Xenopus tropicalis: one gene and its partners. The protein of the gene in region 2 interacts with the protein of the main gene of each other region in a pairwise test. Links are inferred from orthologs where the notes say so. Each region holds a gene or a part of one and is shown on either strand. Other genes may lie near its edges. The genes, in order: topors, satb1 and pias3.

Region 1 (4,257 bases), on a different chromosome or scaffold from region 2:
TCTTTTCAACCATGGTACTAGCCGATGAAGACAAGCAGGGTTACGCCGGAAGAACTCAGCAGAAATATCTCTATAACGTCCGCCATCCTGAATGTTTCTCACACGTATTCCAGACCGGTACAAAGCTCTTCTGAAGTTAATGAGTTCTTGCTCTTGAATTTGCCTCATAGAACGACCCTCTGCACTGGCTTGTCGTCTGGAGGCTAGCCTTCTTATCATCTGGTGGATTTCTTCACCTCTTTGATGTAAATTCTGATTTGAAAACCCTTCAAATAAAATTCCATTGTCAGGAGGTGAAAATGTCCTTTGAGTGCTTGAAGACCTTAATGTCCGAATGGCTACATGATTGTCTCTACTCATAGTTGTGCGATAACGAAATCTATGTCCATCAGGACTGGCAAATGAACCATTCATTGTGGGCCTCAAGACATATTCTTTAAAATCATCCTCTGCTTTGACACTATGGAAAATGGAGTAAAAGGGCTGTTTGCATAGAGGGCATTCAGCTTTGTTTTTTGCCCATTCTTGAATGCAACGGAAACAAAATCTGTGCAGACATCGATCAAGATGTGACACATTATCAAACCTGTCCAAACATATTGGACACTTTGAGTCTGGGGAAGCATCTGTTGCAGTACCATGGTTTTGTAGTTTGCTTGTGCCAGCCTGGGGTGAAAAGCTGCCATCTAGTGAATAATTGTTAGAGGATGATGCCATCATCTAAAAAAGAAGAAAAACACATATTAAATTTTACAGTACTAGTCTTATTTGGTAAACTTATACATTATATGCAAAAGCTAAATAAATGTGATAATGCATCCCTACTCTTCGTGACGCTAAATGATATTATTATACGGTATCTCTTTGCACTGTATCTTAAGGGGTAGTTCAACTTAAAATTAACTTTTAGCATGATAACCTAAATTTTTTTTTATGAATTGTGGTTCGTGAAATATTTCCATAATTTATCCTGTAACTTTAAGACATAGAAATTTCAACAATTTGCAACTAGTCTTCATTTTTTTTTTTGTTAACTGTGGTTTTTCGGTTATTCCATTTTTTGTTCAGCAGCTCTCCAGTTTGGAATTTTAGCACCTATCTAGTTGCTAGGGTCTAAATGACCCTACAACAAGGCAGTAATATTATTGAGACACAGAGATGAATAGGAGAGGCACGAATAGGAAGATACGTAATAAAAAACACCAATAAGTTGTAGCCTCACAAAATGCTTTTTGGCTGCGGGGGACAGTGACCCACTTTTGAAAGCTAGAAAGAGTCAGAAGAAAAAAGGCAAAACATTTAAAAGCTATACAAAATGAAAAATGAAGACGAATTGAAAAGTTACTAAGAACTGGCCATTCTACAGGTATTGTACCTCTTATCTGGAAACCCCTTATCCTGAAAGTTCCGAATTACAGAAAGGCCTTCTGCCATAGGTTTCATTTTAATCAAATCATTAACATTTTTAAAAAATGATTTCCTTTTTCTCTGTAATAATAAAACAGTACCTTGTACTTGATCCCAACTAAGATATAATTAATCCTTTTTGGAGCAATCCTACTGGGTTTAATTACTGTTTTAATAATTTTATTAGCAGACTTAAGGTAGGGGATCTGAATTATGAAAGGACCCCTTATCCAGAAAACCCCAGGCCCAAAGCACTCTGGATAATGGGTCCCATACCTGCATAACATACTAAAAGGTAACACTGTAGGTGAGAATTTGTTGGAGACATAATATACAGACAGGTAAAAAAGGAACAGACGTACAGATGAATTCTAATTCAGCAAAAAAATGGGCTTTCAATGGTTTAGCCTGCATTCGGTTGTAGTAGGGATCTATGAATGTATAGACACATTAGGATCAATAAGACTATTTTAACCAGCCACTAAAGTAATGGAAACCATGGAGTTTCAGGTTTAAAATAAATATGCTGTGGCTGTACGCTGGGGTGTTCTATAACATTAAAAATGAATGTAAAGGTGAATAACCTACTGTGACCTACAGCACTTATATTTGCCTATTTGTGTCTGTTAGTTACCCTCCCATATAGATTGTAAGCTCTACGGGGCAGGGACCTCCATCCTCTTGTGTCCTCGACTCTTAACTTATTGCAGCTGTATTTATCTGTATTTATTATTATACTTTGTATTTATCTATTATCTTATTAACCTCCTGTTTGTATTAATGTATTCTACTGTACAGCGCTGCGTACATAATAAGCACTTTAGAAATAAAGATATATATACATACATACATACAACCTTATTAAGTTTTCCCACTGGTGTTATGAACCTACAGGGGTACCCAGAAAGTACTTTCTCCTGCACGTCCCTCTGCAGAGATGAAAAGCCCAGCCTACATAGGAGCCAAACATATACAAACCCAACTGAATCTCTGGTGTCAGCAAGCAATTGTGTGTTAGCGAGACAGCCCTAGATAAGCAAGGGGACAGCTGCCATATAAATACAGAAGCAGAAGTATACAGTGTGGTGGCGGTGTTGGAAAGAACACTATTATTACTATTACACCAAGGGTCCCGGTAAAATATTAATACAACTACTGGAAGGTAAAGAAAAACCGAGCCACCGATGAAACCTATAAGGCCGATTATGACAGCGGGTATAGTTCGGGGACGCAGTCACTCCAGTTTATACACAAACATATCTTACCGTGTCATTCGCTTCTTGCCTCGCTCCCGGCCTCCGCCGCTTGGTTCTCTTCTCCCTCATGGCGTGACCGTAAGCCGGGTCTCAAACCCGCGATATAGTCCCCGGACTTCCAGGCAATGCTTTCATTGATACCATTCGTGTTACACAATTCTACCCTCTCACCCCGCCCGGTACACTGTAAAGTCAGAGAAGGGAGGCATTCTGGGACAGGGAAAGTTCACTCTATATTCTACATAGCTAGCGCCCCCTAGCAGCCAGGAGGTCTGCCTGAAACGGATGTTGTCGAGCTTACGCTTAGCTCGTACAGGATGTGGTGGTGTTGCTATAGTAACGTAGAGGCGGAGCAAGGAATCATTGCTTGAATGATAGTTTACTGCGATAGAACGACCTCCAGTAACCATGATTTTAATAAGCAAGAGAGCAGTAGAATGGATTTATTCTCTGGTAAGGAAATCTGTATAATATATGATTGAATGAGTTACATGGCTTACGTCACGTAAAGGTATCATGTGTATTTTATGGTAAGGTTACCAGATTGTGTGAACGTCTGTGATACTTACTTGGTAAGTTTCACTATTTAAAGTCAATTAGTACAGCCCGGCAGCTTGTTTCTTATACTTGATGATCTGTTATCTATATATGACATACATCTCTCACACTAAGGACTAAGTTTTACATGAGGTAGTTATGTGCATGCCTATTTCCCAGTAGCACCCAGTCATCAAGCAAATTGCAGCCTCTCTCTTTGCTAAATATTATTATTATTCAATCAGCTCCAACATGCACTAGTGGGACTTGCCCCACTCCAAGACTGAAATAATAATCAGTTTATCTGTGCCCAACACAACTGCCCAACCATTTAGCTGTATATATTGGTTGCTTTTTTTTTTGTAAAATACAGTTTTTAACACCATACTCTATCAGCATATGCTTAGGTGTTTAGATGTTAGCACACAAGAAATTATATATATATATATATATATATATATATATATATAAGTATATGTAATTTCATCCCAGTATTTTGATAGTTACATCGTGTTGAAAAAAGACCAGAGTCCATCAAGTTCAACTCTTCCAAGTAAACCCAGCACACACAACCTATACTTACCATAACACATACATAAACTATATATACAAACATTAATACTAACTGTAGATATTAGTATCACAATAGCCTTGGGTACTATGCTTGTTCAAGAACTCATCCAGGCCCCTCTTAAAGGCATTAACAGAATCTGCCATTACCACATCACTAGGAAGGGCATTCCACAACCTCACTGCCCTCAGTGAAAAACCATCTACGCTGCTTCAAATGGAATGGATTTCTTCTGGTTATTATTTATCATAAATGTATTGCAAACAACATGGCTACCAGCACAAACAGTAGCCTTCCAAAATTCCAATGTGTACAAAGCTAGCAACTTATTTATAGATTGGATCACAAGAGAGGTAAAGGCATAACCTGTCAGAGGCTGGCCCATTAAATCATACATCGGAGAAGTGCAGATAGTGACCAGCAATCATTTTTTTTTCTTAATTTCCAAGTTTAATAGTGAGGTAAATCACTCAGGAACCCTAATAC
Region 2 (3,248 bases):
CTATGCTCAGAATAGAAGCTGCACTCATAACATGGGATACTGTACTGTAACAAATATGAATTAGCTTAGCATAACTAAACTCATTTAGTTGGGCTGTATAAAAAGTGCTCAATCTAAACTTAAACATATAAATATAAATGTATTTTTGATTTACAGAAACATAGCTGATTCCACAGATTAAAGGACACAGTGATAACTCCATAGAGCTGTTTCCCAAGATCCCTTAATACTGACATTGTAATGCACTCACTTTGTTCCATTGTAAACTGATAGATTCTGGGACTGGAAGTCTCTCTGCTTACCATAGTGGGTGGTGCACAGACTCTCTAGAAAGCAGAGCGACTTTAGGCCCCAGAATTCAGCAAGATAAGGGTGAGGTTTGCATTACAGTCAGAGAGGGGTGAGAAACTGGAAAACACACAGACACAAGCTTTTATGGTTTCCTATAATCTGTGGAATTGGGTATGTCTGTAAAAATAAAATACATTTATATTTATTATATCTTATAATTTATATCTGGAAGTTCAAATAATGTTTAAGAATAAAACCATGTAATATAAGAACATAACCATTTCAAACTTCTGTTTTACCTACCTGAATCTGTTCTGCAGAAACATGGATCACATGAGATGGCCTTTCACTGTGCTGATGAACCGCATTGCTCTCTTGCTCATAAATCACATCTCTTTCTGTTTGGGGAAGACTTAGGAACCTTCGAATCATTGAAAGGTTCTCCCACAGAGTCCTGTTTTCCGGTGAAGGGTCTTCTTTCCATCGTAATAGTTCACACAGCCAGCCCTAAAAATAAAAAAAATAAAAAAGGAATGTTACTATGACTGGTAATCATATGCCAACATATATTTATCAGTACTGCTGTTCAGCAGTGACCCAGATATTTGAACCATCTACGCATTTGAATTTTACATAAACAGCATTCTATATAGTAACAGACATTAAAGGAAAATATATGTTACATCGGATTGGGTTACCCTCCATATAGTTCCCCAGCAGGAGTTTTCTGTTCAAGCCCCCTTGGAGGTCCAACCTTTGTTGAAAGAACATCCTCAGCTAGCACATAACAAAGTTACATATTTTTAGTGTATCAGCATTTTAACAACTATAAGTCTCACACCGGCTAAAATATATCTAACTCTATGTTTCTCAACACACACACACACTGGCGTTCTCATTTCTTCTCCATGAATGGTATATACAGGTATCGGTTCCCTTATCCAGAAACCCATTATCCAGAAAGTTCCAAATTACAGAAAGGCCATCTCTCATAGACTCCATTTTAATCAAATAATTCACATTTTTAAAAATGGTTTCCTTTTTCTCTGTAATAATAAAACAGTCCCTTGTACTTAATCCCAACTAAGATATAATTAATCCTTATTGGAGCCATTGGGTCAAATTACTGTTAAAATAATTGTTTTAGTAAACAAAGTAGGCGATCCAAATTACGCAAAGATCTATTATCCAGAAAACCCCAGGTCCTGAGCATTCTGAATAATGGGTCCCATTCCTGTACTTTACAGAGAACATTTTATTATTCGAATGCACCCCTTCCCAGCCCCCCCAGTAGTTGTCCTGTGTATTTTGTAATCATAGAAGGTCCCACATAAACATTACAAAGCATACAAACCCTTTATAGATAGCTTACTGGTTCAAGCTCAGCATCAGAGCCGGGCTGGCCCACTGGGACCAGGAAAAATCCTGGTGGCCCAATCCTCTTCGGCCCTGACATGTATATGTTAAGATTCATGAACATTAGAAATGGCCATACCTGACCATCTTTCCATTTTTCCCCTGATTGGCAGCCAAGTAAGCAAGTAGTGGAGTTGGAGTGGGGCAGACAGGGGGTGGCGGTGCCCAAGTGGTGGGCACTGGGTACCCCAATCTGACCCAGCATCTCAACACTGCATGGCAGCAATGTTTACTACTGTGTACATACTGTATCTATCATACACACTGTTGACTTGAGAGTCTTTTTAACATTAATGCCAAGTAACTGCATGTCAATCACTTGGATTTGGCCAAGCGGTTTGAGAACTGCCAGATTTCCCTTATTTCAATGATAGAAACAAATATAGAGTCTGCTCTGTCAGAGAACCAATTTTAAGACTAATTTTTTAATGGGCGTATTAGGAAAAATCTAGAGAATTCAGCTAATCCTCCATTTAAAAGATGAAAAGGTGACAGTCCAAATGAAACAATGTACTTTGATACTTGTTGATACGTGTAACAAATGGCAGATGGTGAAGGTGCAATGTCTACATTATTTTTAGACAACAAAAATTGCTATAAGAAGGCACGAAAGCCAAGTAAATTATTTGAACTTCAGGATGTTGCTGATTTTGAACTGTCAGAGTTTTATTTGACACCTTCTGTTCTAAATGCTGTTGCTATTCAAAATTCTGCCTTTAGTCCATGCCAGTAACCTTGCCCTCCCTTTAGTTTAATTGGTGGAATGAGATGCATAGAAACTGAAAATGCCATGCAGATGAATGCTGGGCTGTGTTCAAACCTGCTGTATACAACACAAATCCTGTAAAGTTATGTATTGTAAAGGGAAATTTATTGAGAAATAAAGGTCTTAAATCCATCTGCCACACAAGAATTATTATTATGCACTGCGTTAGAAACAAGTGCCATCTGCAAATGTCTTGCAACAGTAAGCAAGGAAATGCTTAACAATTCAATTCTCTTATTTAATATATAGAAGGCAAAAGATACTCAAAGATAAAAATCACAAATGCCCACAAATGCGGAATAAAAATTCAGGTTTGGCCTGTGAAAATAAAAGGCTTGAATGTTTAAAAAAAATAAATAAAATATATATATATATATATATATATACTAAAGAATACAGTATAAACAATAGTATACAAACATTTCCCATCATACATAAAATAATTGTGTAACTGGGAAACACGCATTATATCAAATGCTGGCCCTGTCACGCAGGTTCTGGTTATCCAGAATGGTCAGGACCTCGGGGTTTCTGGATAAGGGATCTTTCTGTAATTTAGACCTCCTTACCATAAGCCTACTAAAAAAAAATTATTTAAAAGTTAAATTAACCCAATAGGATCCCAATTATATCTTAGTTTGGATTAAGTACAAGGTATTGTTTTATTATGACAAAGAAATTGTTCTTCAATTTTTTGATTAAAATTAAGTCTATAGGAGAGGGCCTTCCCATATTTCAGAGCTTTCTGGATAACAGATCCCATACCTGTATAAAG
Region 3 (3,656 bases), on a different chromosome or scaffold from region 2:
TAAGTTTGCCCATAGCCTGTACAGAGAGATACCATAAAACTATGGTACATAGGGATTCCCCTGTACTAAGCACAATTCAGCAGGAACAGCCCCCTGAGTTTGCTCATAGCCTATACAGAGAGATACCATAAAACTATGGCACATAGGGATTCCCCTGTACTAAGCACAATTCAGCAGGAACAGCCCCCTACGTTTGCTCATAGCCTGTACAGAGAGATACCATAAAACTATGGCACATAGGGATTCCCATGTACTAAGCACAATTCAGCAGGAACAGCCCCCTATGTTTGCTCATAGCCTGTACAGAGAGATACCATAAAACTATGGCACATAGGGATTCCCCTGTACTAAGCACAATTCAGCAGGAACAGCCCCCTAAGTTTGCCCATAGCCTGTACAGAGAGATACCATAAAACTATGGCACATAGGGATTCCCATGTACTAAGCACAATTCAGCAGGAACAGCCCCCTATGTTTGCTCATAGCCTGTACAGAGAGATACCGTAAAACTATTGATACAGTTTATTCTGTTTTTCTTGTCTCCAGGGGTATTTACCCCCCACAAAGAATGGTGCCGAGCCCAAACGACCGAACAGACCAATCAACATTACGCCGCTCATCCGACTGACATCAACGGTGCCCAACACTATTGTGGTGAACTGGTCGTCCGAGTTTGGCAGGGTAAGAGCTGCAGATACTGAGCCTTAATGTTATTGATATGTCCATGGCTCACTCCTGTGCGGCCCCCTCTGTGGCACTGGAATTAACTGTGTGTGTGCCATAGCACTGTGTAGTTTGTGTGCAGCTGCGTGGCTACTGTTGCCAGTAGAGGGCGCTATTCTTTCTGGGTGTTTATATGTCTTCCCTTGTCTGATTGGAGGGGAAGGGCACAGCCAACAAGCAGCAAATAGAGCTCAGGCAGGAGGAGGATATTACTGCCACTCACTTAATTGCATTAACCCATCATGAACCCTTAGTCACATGATGTTGTGTCACTCTGGTGGGCCGGCTGTGTTATACAAATACGCAGTGTTTCTCCAGTGACAGTGAGCCGTGTATGCTGGGCTTATCCCCTGTTAGATATGGGTCGCCCCATAGTCACACTCTTACCCCAATGTGCTTCTTACCCCTCTGCAGAATTACTCTCTCTCCGTGTACCTGGTTAAACAGCTCACATCCGTCACCTTATTGCAAAAACTCCGAGCAAAGGGCATCCGTAACCCAGACCATTCCAGAGCCTTGAGTAAGTATTTAGGGACTGAGGTTCTCCTCCTCTCCCCATGTGTTTATGGTACTATCCTGAGGTTCTCCTCCTCTCCCCATGTGTTTATGGTACTATCCTGAGGTACTCCTCCTCTCCCCATGTGTTTATGGTACTATCCTGAGGTTCTCCTCCTCTCCCCATGTGTTTATGGTACTATCCTGAGGTTCTCCTCCTCTCCCCATGTGTTTATGGTACTATCCTGAGGTACTCCTCCTCTCCCCATGTGTTTATGGTACTATCCTGAGGTTCTCCTCCTCTCCCCATGTGTTTATGGTACTATCCTGAGGTTCTCCTCCTCTCCCCATGTGTTTATGGTACTATCCTGAGGAACCAGATCCTAACCCTCCCCATGTGTTTATGGTACTATCCTGAGGTTCTCCTCCTCTCCCCATGTGTTTATGGTACTATCCTGAGGTTCTCCTCCTCTCCCCATGTGTTTATGGTACTATCCTGAGGTACTCCTCCTCTCCCCATGTGTTTATGGTACTATCCTGAGGTTCTCCTCCTCTCCCCATGTGTTTATGGTACTATCCTGAGGTTCTCCTCCTCTCCCCATGTGTTTATGGTACTATCCTGAGGAACCAGATCCTAACCCTCCCCATGTGTTTATGGTACTATCCTGAGGTTCTCCTCCTCTCCCCATGTGTTTATGGTACTATCCTGAGGTTCTCCTCCTCTCCCCATGTGTTTATGGTACTATCCTGAGGTACTCCTCCTCTCCCCATGTGTTTATGGTACTATCCTGAGGTTCTCCTCCTCTCCCCATGTGTTTATGGTACTATCCTGAGGTTCTCCTCCTCTCCCCATGTGTTTATGGTACTATCCTGAGGTTCTCCTCCTCTCCCCATGTGTTTATGGTACTATCCTGAGGAACCAGATCCTAACCCTCCCCATGTGTTTATGGTACTATCCTGAGGTTCTCCTCCTCTCCCCATGTGTTTATGGTACTATCCTGAGGTTCTCCTCCTCTCCCCATGTGTTTATGGTACTATCCTGAGGTACTCCTCCTCTCCCCATGTGTTTATGGTACTATCCTGAGGTACTCCTCCTCTCCCCATGTGTTTATGGTACTATCCTGAGGTACTCCTCCTCTCCCCATGTGTTTATGGTACTATCCTGAGGTACTCCTCCTCTCCCCATGTGTTTATGGTACTATCCTGAGGTACTCCTCCTCTCCCCATGTGTTATGGTACTATCCTGAGGTACTCCTCCTCTCCCCATGTGTTTATGGTACTATCCTGAGGAACCAGATCCTAACCCTCCTCATGTGTTTATGGTACTATCCTGAGGTACCAGATCCCCCCCCCTTTCCATGTGTTTATGGTACTATCCTGAGGTTCTCCTCCTCTCCCCATGTGTTTATGGTACTATCCTGAGGAACCAGATCCTAACCCTCCCCATGTGTTTATGGTACTATCCTGAGGTTCTCCTCCTCTCCCCATGTGTTTATGGTACTATCCTGAGGTTCTCCTCCTCTCCCCATGTGTTTATGGTACTATCCTGAGGTACTCCTCCTCTCCCCATGTGTTTATGGTACTATCCTGAGGTACTCCTCCTCTCCCCATGTGTTTATGGTACTATCCTGAGGTACTCCTCCTCTCCCCATGTGTTTATGGTACTATCCTGAGGTACTCCTCCTCTCCCCATGTGTTTATGGTACTATCCTGAGGTACTCCTCCTCTCCCCATGTGTTTATGGTACTATCCTGAGGAACCAGATCCTAACCCTCCTCATGTGTTTATGGTACTATCCTGAGGTACCAGATCCCCCCCCCTTTCCATGTGTTTATGGTACTATCCTGAGGTATCAGATCCCAGATCCCTCCCCGTATATTTCTGGTTCTGTTATGAGGTGCTACATTCCTCCCTCCCCCCTGAGTTGCAGTTACAGGTTACCTCCCCAGGGGGCGCTGTGCTTAACCGCGTTTGTTTTCATATAACAGTAAAGGAAAAGCTGACGGCAGATCCCGACAGTGAGATCGCCACCACGAGCCTGCGCGTTTCCCTCATGTGCCCGGTGAGTGCTAATGGGCTCCCTGTTTAAGCTTACATTCACTGACTCCGCCCCCAGCACTGTCTGGCTGAGGATTCTGGGATTTGTACTGTAAAACAGAGGGATTAGCATCCATTTGGCAGCTTTATTTTCCCTTCATATTAAAGGCAAAGTAACCATTTAATGGGTAATGCTTTACCGACCCGCTTGCACTCAGACTGGATTAACCCTTTGTGGCTGCTGATTTCTCTCGCAGCTGGGAAAGATGCGCCTGACGGTGCCCTGCAGAGCCATCACCTGCACCCACTTGCAGTGCTTCGACGCGGCGCTCTACCTGCAGATGAACGAGAAGAAGCCGACGTGGACGTGCCCCGTGTGCGACAAGAAGGCGCCGTACGAC

Evidence for each region.
Region 1: the proteins of satb1 (region 2) and topors interact in a two-hybrid assay, tested with the Homo sapiens proteins (2 studies listed by BioGRID and IntAct). The link is inferred for Xenopus tropicalis from reciprocal best matches to the Homo sapiens genes SATB1 and TOPORS.
Region 3: the proteins of satb1 (region 2) and pias3 interact in a two-hybrid assay, tested with the Homo sapiens proteins (2 studies listed by BioGRID and IntAct). The link is inferred for Xenopus tropicalis from reciprocal best matches to the Homo sapiens genes SATB1 and PIAS3.

The regions. Positions count from the first base shown.
Region 1 is NC_030677.2:115,119,550-115,123,806, forward strand, and holds the start of topors (E3 ubiquitin-protein ligase Topors), read right to left. Parts: upstream 2,867-4,257; 5' UTR 2,733-2,866; coding exon 2,673-2,732; intron 721-2,672; coding exon 1-720. Other genes in the region: smim27 (small integral membrane protein 27), read left to right, coding at 3,072-3,116. UniProt on the Homo sapiens protein: Functions as an E3 ubiquitin-protein ligase and as an E3 SUMO1-protein ligase. Probable tumor suppressor involved in cell growth, cell proliferation and apoptosis that regulates p53/TP53 stability through ubiquitin-dependent degradation.
Region 2 is NC_030682.2:45,021,862-45,025,109, forward strand, and holds part of satb1 (DNA-binding protein SATB1), read right to left. Parts: intron 799-3,248; coding exon 595-798; intron 1-594. UniProt on the Homo sapiens protein: Crucial silencing factor contributing to the initiation of X inactivation mediated by Xist RNA that occurs during embryogenesis and in lymphoma.
Region 3 is NC_030684.2:141,801,194-141,804,849, reverse strand, and holds part of pias3 (E3 SUMO-protein ligase PIAS3), read left to right. Parts: intron 1-546; coding exon 547-681; intron 682-1,137; coding exon 1,138-1,243; intron 1,244-3,206; coding exon 3,207-3,280; intron 3,281-3,512; coding exon 3,513-3,656. UniProt on the Homo sapiens protein: Functions as an E3-type small ubiquitin-like modifier (SUMO) ligase, stabilizing the interaction between UBE2I and the substrate, and as a SUMO-tethering factor.